Linked DNA regions of Elephas maximus indicus. The protein of the gene in region 2 interacts with the protein of the main gene of each other region in a pairwise test. Links are inferred from orthologs where the notes say so. Each region holds a gene or a part of one and is shown on either strand. Other genes may lie near its edges.

The links. The genes of interacting proteins can lie anywhere in the genome.
Region 1: the proteins of MKRN2 (region 2) and RACK1 interact in binary tests that used the Homo sapiens proteins (3 or more experiments, as listed by UniProt). The two-hybrid records come from large-scale screens. The link is inferred for Elephas maximus indicus from reciprocal best matches to the Homo sapiens genes MKRN2 and RACK1.

What each region holds. Positions count from the first base shown.
Region 1 is NC_064820.1:199,936,289-199,943,248, forward strand, and holds the start of RACK1 (receptor of activated protein C kinase 1), read left to right. Parts: upstream 1-4,006; 5' UTR 4,007-4,058; coding exon 4,059-4,167; intron 4,168-4,423; exon of another isoform or gene 4,424-4,491; intron 4,492-5,178; coding exon 5,179-5,350; intron 5,351-5,718; exon of another isoform or gene 5,719-5,794; intron 5,795-5,963; coding exon 5,964-6,111; intron 6,112-6,335; coding exon 6,336-6,431; intron 6,432-6,960. Other genes in the region: uncharacterized protein LOC126067361, read left to right, coding at 1,864-1,967, 3,558-4,006. UniProt on the Homo sapiens protein: Scaffolding protein involved in the recruitment, assembly and/or regulation of a variety of signaling molecules. Interacts with a wide variety of proteins and plays a role in many cellular processes.
Region 2 is NC_064838.1:37,723,406-37,730,779, forward strand, and holds the start of MKRN2 (E3 ubiquitin-protein ligase makorin-2), read left to right. Parts: upstream 1-4,354; 5' UTR 4,355-4,459; coding exon 4,460-4,485; intron 4,486-7,374. UniProt on the Homo sapiens protein: E3 ubiquitin ligase catalyzing the covalent attachment of ubiquitin moieties onto substrate proteins.

The DNA.
Region 1 (6,960 bases), on a different chromosome or scaffold from region 2:
CTGGGGTTTTACTCTGTCCACTCCCTTTATTCCTTCTCTTGAAGCCATCCCTCCGACTTGTGCACACAAACCACTTGACTTATGCACTTTTTTCCCTCCTTCTGCACCAACCCCCATTCCTCTCCCTGGAATACCCTCCCCTCCCTCTAATGACTCGCCCTTTACTACTCAGCCTGTGAGACTAGCCACCAAGGTTAAGTCTTCCACATGCCACATACTCTACCAGGTGCTGGGGATGCTGCAAGTCAGAAAGAAGCCAGTCCCTGTTCTCAGGGCACTCCCAAGAGAGCCTTGAGGAATTCAAATAACTGCAAATTGAGCTGAGTGCTATGAAGGAGCAGCATACCCTACACTACCATGAGCCATGAAACAAAGTAACCTGACCTAGACCTGAGCATCACAGAGGGCTTCCTTGAAGAGGCAACACCAGCTGAGGCTGGAAGGAAGCTTAGATTTAATAAGAGAAGAGGAGTGGGATATCACAGGCCTTCCAGACAGAAGAATAGTGTGTATAAAAGTTCTATGTGAGAAAGAACTGATGGGTGGGAGGAGGAGAAGAGGGCCAGCATGGCTACAAAACACAGCTTGGGGCATTCCAGAGCCAGCCACACTGGATCTGGATGGTGACAGTAGAGATTTTGATCTTAAAGTACAAGAGGAAGCCACCTGCCTACAGAACTTTAGCAGACAGCAAGCAGGCCCTCTAGTCCTGGTGACCTTTCCCTCACCTACCACTTCCAACAGCCCTGACCTCAGCATCCAAGAGAAGACCTGTCATACCCCCAATGGTCCCTAAGTGCTGATGTGGGGATGGGGGGAGGCCTCTGATCCTGGAGAAATGGTCACTCCAGTGAGGTAACAGGCCTTTGGCAGGGAGGCATGAGGAGCTCTTTTCAACTGTGTGATCCTGTGGACTCCCTCCAGTAAAGGAATGGTGATCAGAATCCTAGAGAGACCACTCTTAGAAGAGCCTCTCCAAGGGCATTCTTACCTTGTGTGGAGTGGAGGTGGTACTCATGGGCTTAAGAGGTGGGAGAACGGGGGTAGTCAAAAGGCTCAGAGACGGGGTAAGACTAAGTTGAACTAGGGCCAGAAGCGGTAGGCCCAGTGAAGAAGGCTTTGCCAACAGAGCAGTGGGCTAGGAGGAGAGAGGGAGGTAGACAGAGCAGGAAGAAGGCTCTTGCATGCAGAGAGCTCTAAGTCTGGCGGGGGGAGGGGGGCCTCCAACAGGCTTTCCACCTCTGTGGGATTAAGAAAAAATGATCATTGAGAGGAGCCCTTCCCTGGGCAAGGACAAGGCCCACCCCAAACTGGTGAATGCAGACTTCTCGTGGGAGGAATGTAGCTAATTTTCAGCCTTGTAGAGCTGAGATGTCACACTGCTACAAGGGACCAGCCTGGAGTCACAGGCAGGACACTAGGGCCCCTTTGCTGGCCAAGAGCAAATCCACAAATTCTTCCCAAGGAATGAGAAGTCTAGGTAGGGTCCCTAACCCAGGCCAGGCACGTATACCCGGTAAGCAAGCATGGATGGGGCTCAACCCAGGTGGGTGCTGAGCTGGAAAAGCAGCTGCTCCACCTCCATCCCCTCCCCAAATTACACCCCAAGTGGTCCCCAAGGTTGGGGCAACTCCCTCAGCTCAGGATTGTCCTTCAGTGGCCATTGAAAAGTACTAGCATCCCTTTTCTTAAAACAGGAAGGAAGGGGGTGAGGAAAACTCCAGAGGAAAAGCCCAAATCCTACAGGGACTGATCGTCTGAGAAGTGAACCGTATACTCCATTTCTCCCTCTCCTCCAACTGACATTCCCCTGGGCTCCATGGGCTCTGTGGCAAAACAAGAATTTCTCCCTCACCTCCACAGGAGGGCGCTGCTAGAATCAGCTCATAGAGTAAGGGATGAGGGAGACCAGCCAAAAGCAGAAGGCACCTTTGGAAGTCCGGGTCTCCAGAAAGAGGAAAGAGGAGGTATGGATGCGGGGGAGGATGTGGGAGAGGTGCTCTGGAGAGGCAGAGCCTCCTGGAAAGGGGCTGGGCAGTGCAGAAAGGTCCCATCCTTGAGCACATGGGAGTGGGGGGCAGGGGGGGCCTCATTTTAAACCCAGACTCCCCAGTCCTACCTCAAGGTTGCAGATTTCCACAGGGGCTCCCTGGGCAAAGTTAAACAGCAGGATGAGGTGTTTTTGATTTTAGGCGGGGAGAGGGATGTAATAATGTAACTTATGATGTTCCCAGGGGAAGTGGGGAAGCCCTTGCATAGCACACCAGAGACTCACTGGAGTAACTCACCTCTCCATTTGTGAGAAGCACCTATGGGGCCAGGATGGCCTGACCCAAATCACGGGCAGCGAACTGGATATTGGGGTTGGTGAAAGCATGGGGCTCCCACGACCGCAGAAGAAAGAAAACATGTGGGTCAGGGGAGAGTTCAGTGTTGCAATAGTGAAAGGACAACCATTTGGGGGTGCCAGGGAGACAGGTGATGTCCACACCTGGGGCCCTAGGAGGACAGGCATCAGGCTGGGGAGGAGGAGGGGGCAGCCAGGACAGGGCCAAATGCCCAAAGGAAGCTGCAGGGGAATCTTCACTGGACCAGGTCTGGTGGCCACAAGGGATGGGTCCTGGCCTTCACAACATGGGGCTGCCACTGCCTCCTTCCCTGACTTTTGCCATCCTCTTTCCAAGCCTTCCAGCACGTGTTGCCAAGATCCTTCCCTAAATCCTTGAGGCACTATGTGAACTGCCCCCACCTCCATCCCACTGCTCTGTCCTTAGTTTCTCCAATAACTCTTTCTCTGACACTCTAGCTCAGGACCTTTGCACTAACTCTTTATTCCAAATGAAACATTCTTCCTCATATGCCTTCCCTCTGACTGGCACATTGTTCCCCCATCTCTCCACATGGCCCTCTCCCAGATCTAATTTCCTGTCTCCAATGTCCCACTCAACCACCCATCACCACCAAAGAATGTAAGCGCCAAGAAGGGGGTCCTCGTTTCTTTGCAGCTGTATCACCAAGACCTAAAACACGACGTGGTGCCCAAGGGATGTGAACTAAATAAGTTACACAGATTAATTCTATCAGGCATTGTTCTGGGCGCTTTACCTTTCTTGACTCGATTACTCTCCATAACACCAGGTGAGGTAGGCACTATCATTTCCAATCGTATTTCAGAGAAGAGACTAACGTTAAAGCATATTACAAATAGAAAGTAAATATGTATGTTGTTGGGTGCCATCCAGTCCGTTCCGACTCAGCGACCCTATATGACAGAGTAGAACTGCCCCCATAGGACTTCCAAGGAGCAGCTGGTGGATTTGAACTGCTGACCCTTTGGTTAGCAACCGAGCTCTTAACCACTATGTCACCAGGGCTCCAAATACTATATACAATCCCCCCTTTATTTTGTACAGGTGATAACGGCTGCGGTCCTCCCGATCTACTTCCCTGAGCGGCGTTCTGGCATGAAAATATGTTAGGGTTTGAGAGTTCACCTGAGCATGGTTCGAAAGTTTATGTTTCTTTAATACGGCTTTTTTCCCCCAAATTGCCCACAGGTACTCACAGTTGGGATCTCGAAATTAAGTACCCGCTTCATTGTCCTCTGAACTACCAAGCGGAAAGGGCGGGGCTCGCGTTGTGCCACCTAGCGGACGGTGAAGCCGTAAGGCGATCCTCATGGGAATGTGCCGTACATTTCAACTCTTTCACGTCTAAGAAATCACACCCCAGCAAAGGTTTAAGGAACCTCTTTAAATATTCGGTCGTGATAGTTTCAGAGTGTATTCGTGCGGAGCTGTCAAATTATGTTGCGTGGCGGAGGGGACGTGTCGTGCGATTTCAACAGCTGTTTCGGCTACATGGCGCTGCCATCTTAAGCAGAAGTGAATCATGGGAGCCACCATTTTGGTCGGGCGGGCGGGTATTTCCGGTTCCGGCAGTGGGTTCCTCGATCTTTTTCTACGCAGGGCCGCGGCGAGAGCGCCGGTGCTGCTGGTCTCTCTGAGCTATCTGGTGCCATCCTCGTCGCTGCGGCGACCCTCGCACCCGCCGCCGTCATGACTGAGCAAATGACCCTTCGTGGCACCCTCAAGGGCCACAACGGATGGGTTACCCAGATCGCTACCACTCCACAGTTCCCGGACATGATACTGTCTGCCTCGCGAGGTACGTACTGAGGTGCAGGAGGAGGGTTGCGCGCCTTACGAGGCTGGGCTGTGGTGCGCGAGTCGCGGGTCCGAAAGACTCCGCCGGGGTTTGAGGGGGGACATGTGACCCGGCTGAGCCCGGTAAGGCATTCCCATCATTGCTAATGAAGTACCGAGGAACAGCCTGTGGCCGCCAGGAGGGTGGGAGGTTTCTTTATAGCCTTCACGCTTCTGCACGGTGTAGCTAGTTGTGCCCACGAGCCTACAGGCCTGGCGGAGCGGTGATGATTACAACATGCCATCTGAGCATAGGTGCTGAGACCCAGAGGCTGTTTCTGAGCTGTCGCCCGGCCCTCGGCTCTTTTGGGAATTGGTGGTCTCCAGGGGAGCTCCATGGCACAAACCTGGATTTGACCGGCACCTACTCTATGCCCTGGCTTCTCTTCCTCTCATTCTCGGTCGGCCTGAGTGCGTTTGGAGGCTTCCTGTGCTTTCCAAATGCTCCCACACTGGGAGTTTTTTGAAGCTAGGATTAGGGCTGGCCCTTAATTGTAAAGTTTATAGTGTAGGACACGTTTTAGTGAAATCATCCAACCCTGTAGCGTGCAGAACAACTTTCCAACACTGATTCACTTCTGGCAATCCTCAAAAATAGTCCCGGTGCCCACGACGAGTCCTCTACACCCAGGCTGCTCTGTTTCTGCATTAGACCTCAGATAGGACACGAAAGGGTTATTGAATTGATCTCAGTCTCAGCCCCTAGCAAAATTCTGAACCCCTGATTTACATTTGTATGAAAGACTTTTTAGTTTTATCTCTCTATTCCAGCAAGTAACTTCTTACTAGCGTATAGTTTACCTCCTTGTCAAGCTTCTCTGTAATTTGTCATCTTGTAAACCCATGACCTCGAGACATTTTGGATTATCCAGTAATCAGCAAGGTAGCTGCAGAGTTCAGACTGGCAGGATGGCTAGTATAGAGGAGGGCAGAGTTTCTCAATGGGTTTACTTTTTGTTTTATCTCTCCTTAGATAAGACTATCATCATGTGGAAGCTGACTAGGGATGAGACCAACTATGGCATCCCCCAGCGTGCTCTGCGTGGCCACTCTCACTTTGTTAGTGACGTGGTTATCTCCTCTGATGGCCAGTTTGCCCTCTCTGGCTCCTGGGATGGGACACTGCGCCTCTGGGATCTCACAACGCAAGTACCTGCTCGCTTAGCTTTGGGGCCTTGGGGGGAAAGCTGGGCAGAAATGAGGAAAATGGCTGAGTCCTCCCTCCTTGGTTGATTCAGACTCAGAGAGACCCTAGAAGACAGTAGAACTGCCCCATAGGGTTTCCAAGGCTATAAATCTTTACAGAAGCAGACAGCCACATCTTTCTCCTGTGGAGTGGCTGGTGGGTTCAAACCACCAACCTTTGGTTAGCAGCCAAGCGTTATAACAACAGTGCCATGTGGGCAATTTGAATTGAGTGAAGCAGTTAGGAGTACACACAGTGGTTTGAAAATGTTTGGCCTTGGTAGCTCTGTCCTGGGTGTTGGTCAGCTGGTGACAATTATAATGGAGCATCCTGGTGATGACAGATGACATTGTCAGCTGATCCCCATGTGGGAGTGAGGACATGTCCTGCAATTCTGAGGGATTCTCTGGCATATACTCAGACAAAAGCTTGCTGTGGTCAGAGCCATAGCTTGGGTTATCTGAGTAAAGAAAATCCCCTGGGGACAGGGACAAGGCCCGGAAAATGATGTGACTGTGGTAGGAGAAAGTTTGCAAGGTGTCTGTAGAGAGTGACCAGGTCCTCCTTCTCAGGGGCACCACCACACGACGATTTGTGGGCCATACTAAGGATGTGCTGAGTGTGGCCTTCTCTTCTGACAACCGGCAAATTGTCTCTGGCTCCCGAGATAAAACCATCAAGCTGTGGAATACTCTGGGTGTCTGCAAGTACACTGTACAGGTAAAGTGAAGGCATGGGGGAAAGAGTGCATCTTTGAGGTTCATTCCCGCTCTTCCTCTTAAACGTTAATCACGTGTGGTGGTTTCAAGTATTGTCTGGCATCTAAAAGTTTCGGGACGAGAATATAAGACTGCTAGCATCCATCTCACATAGCTGAGAGGAGGAATAGTGGTCTAGAGTTTCATGGGCCAGAATGTTTCCCCTTATTTCTCTGTCTCCTGTAGGATGAGAGCCACTCGGAGTGGGTGTCTTGCGTCCGCTTCTCCCCCAACAGCAGCAACCCCATCATCGTTTCCTGTGGCTGGGATAAGTTGGTCAAGGTGAGCTTGGAACCAGGGCCACAAGGCCTTTACCAGCCAGAAACTGCTCCCATTGCATCTAGATGGTCATAGGCTCCAACTCGGAAACCTTTGCAGATTCTCTCCTGAGACATTTCTGTCCAGCATGCCTTTCATCCTAACCAACCACCTGGAGTTAGGTCAGATCTCACAAGCTAAATGTTAGTGTTCTCTAGATGCCAGGTCTTCCCGAGACTTCGTGCTGGTCACAAGCTTGGGAGTCCCCTGTGACACCCTCACTTCTGACCTGATAGCTACAAATCTGGGATCTTCCCACTACCTTGGGTTTGATAATTCACTATAATGACTCACAGAAAGTGTTACACTTACTGGGTTACAGCTTCATTAGGGCAGCATCTGGATACTGGATAGCGTTGCCAACATGGAGCTTCCGGCCCCAAAAGGGACACTACCCACCCGTGTCCATCACTGTCTTTTGCCAACCAGGAAGCCCTTGGAGCTTCCCTGACTAGAGTCTTTTGGGGACCTCGTTACATAGGCATGATTGAAT
Region 2 (7,374 bases):
ATAATGTATGAGTGTTCTAGTTTTCTCCATATGCTCACCAACACTTGGAATTGTCAATGTTTATGATTTAGCCATTCTAGTGGGTGTGAATAGCAGTGGAACATTGTCTGATAGCAGTGGAACATTGTCTGATATAGTGCTGGAAGATGAGCCCCCAGGTTGGAAGGCACTCAAAAGATGACTGGGGAAGAGCTGCCTCCTCAAAGTAGAGTCAACCTTGATGACGTGGATGGAGTAAAGCTTTCGGGACCTTCATTTGCTGATGTGGCACGACACAAAATGAAAAGAAGCAGCTGCAAACAGCCATTAATAATCTGAACCTGGAATGTACGAAGTATGAATCTAGGAAAATTGGAAATCGTCAAAAATGAAATGGAATGCATAAACATCGATAATCCTAGGCATTAGTTAGCTGAAATGGACTGGTATTGGCCATTTTGAGTTGGACAATCATATAGTCTACTATGCTGGGAATGACAACTCGAAGAGGAATGGTGTTGCATTCATTGTCAAAAAGAACATTCCAAGATCTATCCTGAAGTACAATGCTGTCAGTGATAGGATAACATCCATACACCTACAAGGAAGACCAGTTAATATGACTATTATTCAAATTTACCTACCAACCGCTAGGGCCAAAGATGAAGAAATAGAAGATTTTTATCAGCTGCTGCAGTCTGAAATTGATCGAACATGCAATCAAGATGCATTTATAATTACTGCGATTGGAATGGGAAAGTTGGAAACAAAGAAGAAGGATCAGTAGTTGGAAAACATGGCCTTGGTGATAGAAACAATGCCAGAGATCAAATGATAGAATTTCGCAAGACCAGCGACTTCTTCATTGCAAATACCTTCTTTCACCAACATAAACGGTGACTGTACACATGGACCTCGCCAGATGAAACACACAGAAATCAAATTGACTACATCTGTGGAAAGAGACGATGGAAAAGCTCAATATCATCAGTCAGAACAAAGCCAGGGGCCGACTGTGGAACAGACCATCAATTGCTCATATGCAAGTTCAAGCTGAAACTGAAGAAAATCAGAGCAAGTCCACGAGAGCCAAAATATGAACTTGAGTATATCCCACCTGAATTTAGAGACCATCTCAAGAATAGATTTGATGCATTGAACACTAGTGACCGAAGACCAGATGAGTTGTGGAATGACATCAAGGACATCATCCATGAAGAAAGCAAGAAGTCACTGAAAAGACAGGAAAGCAAGAAAAGACCAAGATGGATGTCAGAGGAGACTCTGAAACTTGCTCTTGAGCGTCGAGCAGCTAAAGCAAAAGGCAGAACTGATGAAGTAAAAGAACTGAACAGAAGATTTCAAAGGGCGGTTCGAGAAAACAAAGTAAAGTATTATAATGACATGTGCAAAGAGCTGGAGATGGAAAACCAAAAGGGAAGAACACGCTTGGCGTTTCTCAAGCTGAAAGAACTGAAGAAAAAATTCAAGCCTCGAGTTGCAATAGTGAAGGATTCCATGGGAAAAATATTAAACGACTCAGGAAGCATCAAAAGAAGCTGGAAGGAATACACAGAGTCAATATACCAAAAAGAATTAGTCGATATTCAACTATTTCGAGAGGTGGCATATAATCAGGAACCTATGGTACTGAAGGAAGAAATCCAAGCTGCTCTGAAGGCATTGGCAAAAAACAAGGCTCCAGGAATTGACGGAATATCAATTGAGATGTTTCAACAAGCAGATGCAGCACTGGAGGTACTCACTTGTCTATGCCAAGAAATATGGAAGACAGGTTCCTGGCCAACTGACTGGAGGAGATCCATATTTAAGCCTATTCCCAAGAACGGTGATCCAACCGAATGTGGAAATTATAGAACAATATCATTAATATCACACGCAAGAAAATTTTGCTGAAGATCATTCAAAAACGGCTGTAGCAGTATATCGACAGGGAACTGCCAGAAATTCAGGCTGGTTTTAGAAGAGGACATGGAACCAAGGATATCATTGCTGATGTCAGATGGATCCTGGCTGGAAGCAGAGAATACCAAAAGGATGTTTACCTGTGTTTTATGGACTATGCAAAGGCATTCGACTGTGTGGATCATAACAAACTATGGATAACACTGCGAAGAATGGGAATTCCAGAACGCTTAATTGTGCTCATGAGGAACCTGTACATAAACCAAGAGGCAGTTGTTCAGACAGAACAAGGGGATACTGATTGGTTTAAGGTCAGGAACGGTGTGCGTCAGGGTTGTATTCTTTCACTATACCTATTTAATCTGTATACTGAGCAAATAATCCGAGAAGCTGGACTATATGAAGAAGAACAGGGCATCAGGATTGGAGGAAGACTCGTTAACAACCTGCGTTATGCAGATGACACAACCTTGCTTGCTGAAAGTGAAGAGGATTTGAAGCACTTACTAATGAAGATCAAAGACCACAGCCTTCAGTATGGATTAAACCTCAACATAAAGAAAACAAAAATCCTCACAACTGGACCAATAAGCAACATCATGATAAACGGAGAAAAGATTGAAGTTGTCCAGGATTTCATTTTGCTTGGATCCACAATCAACAGCCATGGAAGCAGCAGTCAAGAAATCAAAAGACGCATTGCATTGGGTAAATCTGCTGCAAAGGACCTCTTCAAAGTGTTGAAGAGCAAAGATGTCACCCTGAAGACTAAGGTGCGCCTGACCCAAGCCATGGTATTTTCAATCGCATCATATGCATGTGAAAGCTGGGCAATGAATAAGGAAGACCAAAGAAGAGTTGATACCTTTGAATTGTGGTGTTGGTGAAGAATATTGAATATACCATGGACTGCCAAAAGAATGAACAAATCTGTCTTGGAAGAAGTGCGGCCAGAATGCTCCTTAGAGGCAAGGATGGCGAGACTGCGTCTTACATACTTTGGACATGTTGTCAGGAGGCATCAGTCCCTGGAGAAGGACATCATGCTTGGCAGAGTACAGGGTCGGCAGAAAAGAGGAAGACCCTCAACTAGGTGGATTGACACAGTGGCTGCAACAATAAGCTCAAGCATAACAACGATTGTAAGGATGGCGCAGGACCAGGCAGTGTTTCGTTCTGTTGTGCATAGGGTCGCTATGAGTCGGAACCAACTCGATGGCACCTAACAACAACAACAAGAAGTGGGTGTGTAGTGGTATCTTGTTGTGACTTTAGTTTGTATTTCCCTAATTATTAATGAGGTTCTTGGATGGTACAAACAGTTTGTGCTCAACTACTAAAGACTGATGACTTGAACCCAGCAGCAGCACTGCAGAATAAAGGCTTAGGGATCAGCTTTCGTAGAAATTTCAGCCAAGAAAACGTGACGGAGCAGCTCTATTCTGTAACGCATGGGGTTGCTCTAAGTCAAAATTAACTCAACAGCAATGGGTTTGATTTTGTGGTTTTAATTGTTAATGATGCTGATGATATGAGCTTCTTATGCTGTGCTTATTTGCCATTCATATATTTTCTTTGGTAAAGTGTCTTCCCATCTCTTAATTAGATCTTTATTTTTGTACTGAGTTTTAAGGATTCTTTATTCTAGATACAAGACCTTTGTCAGGTAAATGATTTGCAAACATTTTCTCCTGTGGCTTTTCTTTTCTTAGCAGTGTCTTTTGAAGAGCAAAAGTTTTTAATTTTGATGAAGTGCAATTTGTCATATTTTTCTTACATCATTCAGATGTCATAGCTAAGAAATCTGCCTAATCTAAGGTCATAAAAATTTTCTATATTTTATTCCAAAAGTTTTGTAATTTTTGTGCTTACATTTCAGTAAGAGCTAATTTTGAGTAAATTTTTGTGCAGGTTATAGTAAATCAGAGTAAGTTTGAAGACTGTCTTTTTGGATTTCCACCGTAGGAAGTGAAGATGAACATCACAGGAATGTCAGGAAAGGAAAAGAGGACTAAAAAGTAGGGTGGGAATAGAAATTTTGAAAAAAGGGTAAAGAAGAGTCAGAGGGGACTAAAAATTCCTTAAGGGGGAAAGGGGCCTAGGGAGTGCAAGCCTGGATGAGTAGGGGTATTTGGGATGAAAGTGTGCGGGGAGGAGGCGGGAGCTCGGCCAGGGGAAGGTGTGAGGAGACCCTAGAGACAGCAGACGTCGCTAGGGATTGCCACTGGAGACCCGGCCAAATCCTAAGAACTATGAGGACCCGGAACTAGTCGGGGAGAACTAGGACGCCAGCCAAGACCCGCCCCGGAGGCTTAGAAATGCGGCACACAGACGGCAAGGCTAGGGGGACCGGACCATGCCCACCCTCTGCGGCGGAACCAATTATGACGGCGGTCAGGTTTCTGGCCGGCGCTACAAAAGTGCCACACGCGGAGGGCGGTGCGCGCCGACGTGACGCGGCCGCGCGGGATGGGCAGGGCCAAGGCCGAGGCGGTGGCGGCGAGGGCGACAGCGAGAGGCAGTGGCGCGACGACTGCCCCCCAGCCCGACCACCATGAGCACCAAGCAGGTCACTTGCAGGTCCGTGCGCGGCGCCGCGGCACAGGCCGCCCGTGGCCCGAAGGGTGGCCAGCGCCCCCCGGCGGGCGCCGCGGAATCCGGGGGCGCCCCTTCCCGGCCCCGAGCAGCCGCAGCGCCCTAGCCCTGCGGCCGGAGCAGCGAGCCCAGGGCCGAGTAGAGTCGTGGGCCTTCCGAGCGGGTTAGCGCGCTGTCGGAGCCCGAGCCCGGGCCGCGGCGGGTGCGGGCCCGTGTCCCCCGGCCGAGCTCGGAGCCGCGGGCGCGGCGGGGCAGGCTGCGCAGCGGGCTTGGGCGCCTGCGGCTGGGAGGAGGCCGGCTGGGCCGGAGCGGGCCGGGGGTGGGACGCGGTCTCCTGGCGCCTGCAGTGTCGCTGGGAAGGGAGATTTGAAACTGAGTGAAGGGCTCTGGTGGTTTCCTAACGAGGGCACCACGCCGCGGTGGGTGGTTACGCGATTGAAGATCCTCGAAGAATCTGGGGGACCCAGAGCCCCTTCGCTTCCCGTCAGCCAGCCTTTGACTTTCTAGCTGAAAAGCTGAAGATTTAGTTGGAAGGACACGGATGTAACCTGAACTGGCATAGAATTAGTAAAAATTGTGCAGAAAATAACACAGGGAGCGTTTACCGAAAACCTGTTAAGCATCCCGCATGTTACCAAGCCTTTTATATACGTTGTCACTAGAGCTCACAGCGAGGCACATTTGCTTCCATTTTACGGTGCGTGAAACTGAGGCTGAAAGAGATTGACTGATGCCCTCATCTTACTGAGAGACCCATTTACTGGAGAAATGCTCGCGACAGCAATGGATGATTTAGTGTAGAAAATTCAAAACCAGATGGCTAAGGTCTGATTGCTGCTGTGAAATGGAAACAGCTTGGTTGCGTAACACTCTTACTCCTTCGTTAGCTTGTAGCTTAACGGTATTGGAACCCCAGTCCTGTTGAATTGTATGCTTGGAAGATACAAATTTATTTTAATAATTGATATTAGCAATACCTGTTTGGGAAACATTGCTAAAAAAAAAAAAAAAAGCTGTATAGTTTGGTTATGTAATAAACAGTTCATTTACATATAATCGATAGTGTTACTTCTCTTCATTAGTATGAATAATTGATAAGTGACTGTTTAAAGCTTTCTGTTAGCATTAGTGTGTATAAACTGTTCATCCAGTTTATCCAAGGCCCAGGTGGCTTTTGTTAAGCAGTTGTTAGACATTTGATGAATTTAGTGTCCATAGAAAAGACTTTTGCTAGGTTATTTGTACTAGAAGGTCTTTTTTTGATCTCTGCATATATATTATTTGCGTATATTTTTTCTCCTGTTGGAGGGAATGCTCCTATGTCTTTGCGTACTAAAAAGCAAATACTAGCTTGCTACGTAGGAAGTTTTATCTATTCCTCCATCTACTTTTATGGTTTAATTCTACCATTCTTGAACCCAGTCTACAGCTCGTAAAATGTCTGCAAAAGAGGGCACCTTTATGTAATGCTTTATAAGTGAATCACAACTCCTTATAGTATCTAATTTTAAAGATAAGGAAAGCTTACACCCAGAAGTACTTGAAACTTGCCCCAAATTTTACACTGAAGTGCAGAATTAAGAATTTAAATCAGGATCATCTTGTTTTATTCCTTCTACACCCCAAGATGGCCTGACCTGAGAACTTTAATCCTGTATTTCCCAAACAGGGGCATCCTATAGAATATTGTTACATGTAAACTAAGAGTAGGTTGGAATGTTGGGAAAAGATCTCCATTTAGGGGGCTGATGTATGTTCTGGGTGCTTTTTAGGTGCTCTACCAGCCATGTCTCACGTAATCCAGAACCAACACCATTCCACAGATCGCACAAAAATCCACTCAGTGGCAGAGGTGTGACATTAGAGTCCATGCTCTCATAAACTATATGGCCTCCAAATAAGTTTGGGAAATGCTAAGTTAAAGCTTCTGACTGTAGGATTTTTCTAAGGTTTTAATATGGTCATGTGAAGGGAAAACGCAAACATTTAGAAAGGAAAAGGTGTTTACTTGCAAAGGAGTATGAGGGAAGTCAGACCTCAGAAGCACTTCCTTGCCAAATAAACATAACAAGTATTTTAAAAAAAAATCTGCAAAATTACCAAGAGTACCAAGTTTTGTTTTGTTTTAATAATATTGTGTTTTGGGTGAAAGTTTACACAGCAGATTAGGATCCCATTTAACAAAAATTGGTCCAGTGACATTGGTTACATTCTTCACAACGTGTCAGCATTCTCATTTCCATTCTGTTCCGTTTCCATTAATCTAGCTCTCATGCCCCTGCTTCTAATCTTTGCATTAGGGTAAATGTTGACGGTTTGTTCTCATACAGTGGATTATGTAAGGGAGTACAGTACTCACGGGTAATATTGTTTATTTTATAAGCCAGTCTATTATTTGAATGAAAGGAAGTGGGGTACCTTTAATCTGTGTTACTCTATCTGAGCAGACTTCCAGTTGCCTCTTCTACTTCCAGACCCGTATACTCTGTGTTTTAAAACTCTTTAATCAGGCAAGCAAATGCACAGAAATGGGAATAGACACAGGGGTCTTCATCCCAATGCCAGTGCCCTGTTCATTATTGGACTGTCCCAGTATATTTATTACATTCAGCTCTGCAAGGTGAACTTTACTGCCTGCTTCATCACAAACTAGCTTTTTTTTTTTAAACCTCTTAAGTGAGATTTTTCAGTCATAAAGCTAGCTTTAGTGTGATGGTATTTGATTGGCCAACAGCCAAGTAGACCGAGTGCAGTCTATTCTAATGAGGATGAATGGGATGATGTTAAGCAGATGACAAGTTAGCTTAGGAAGTCTCTTTTGTTATAATTGCAGTAATTTTTCAACCAGTGCTTGGATTAGCCTTGTCAGTCTTT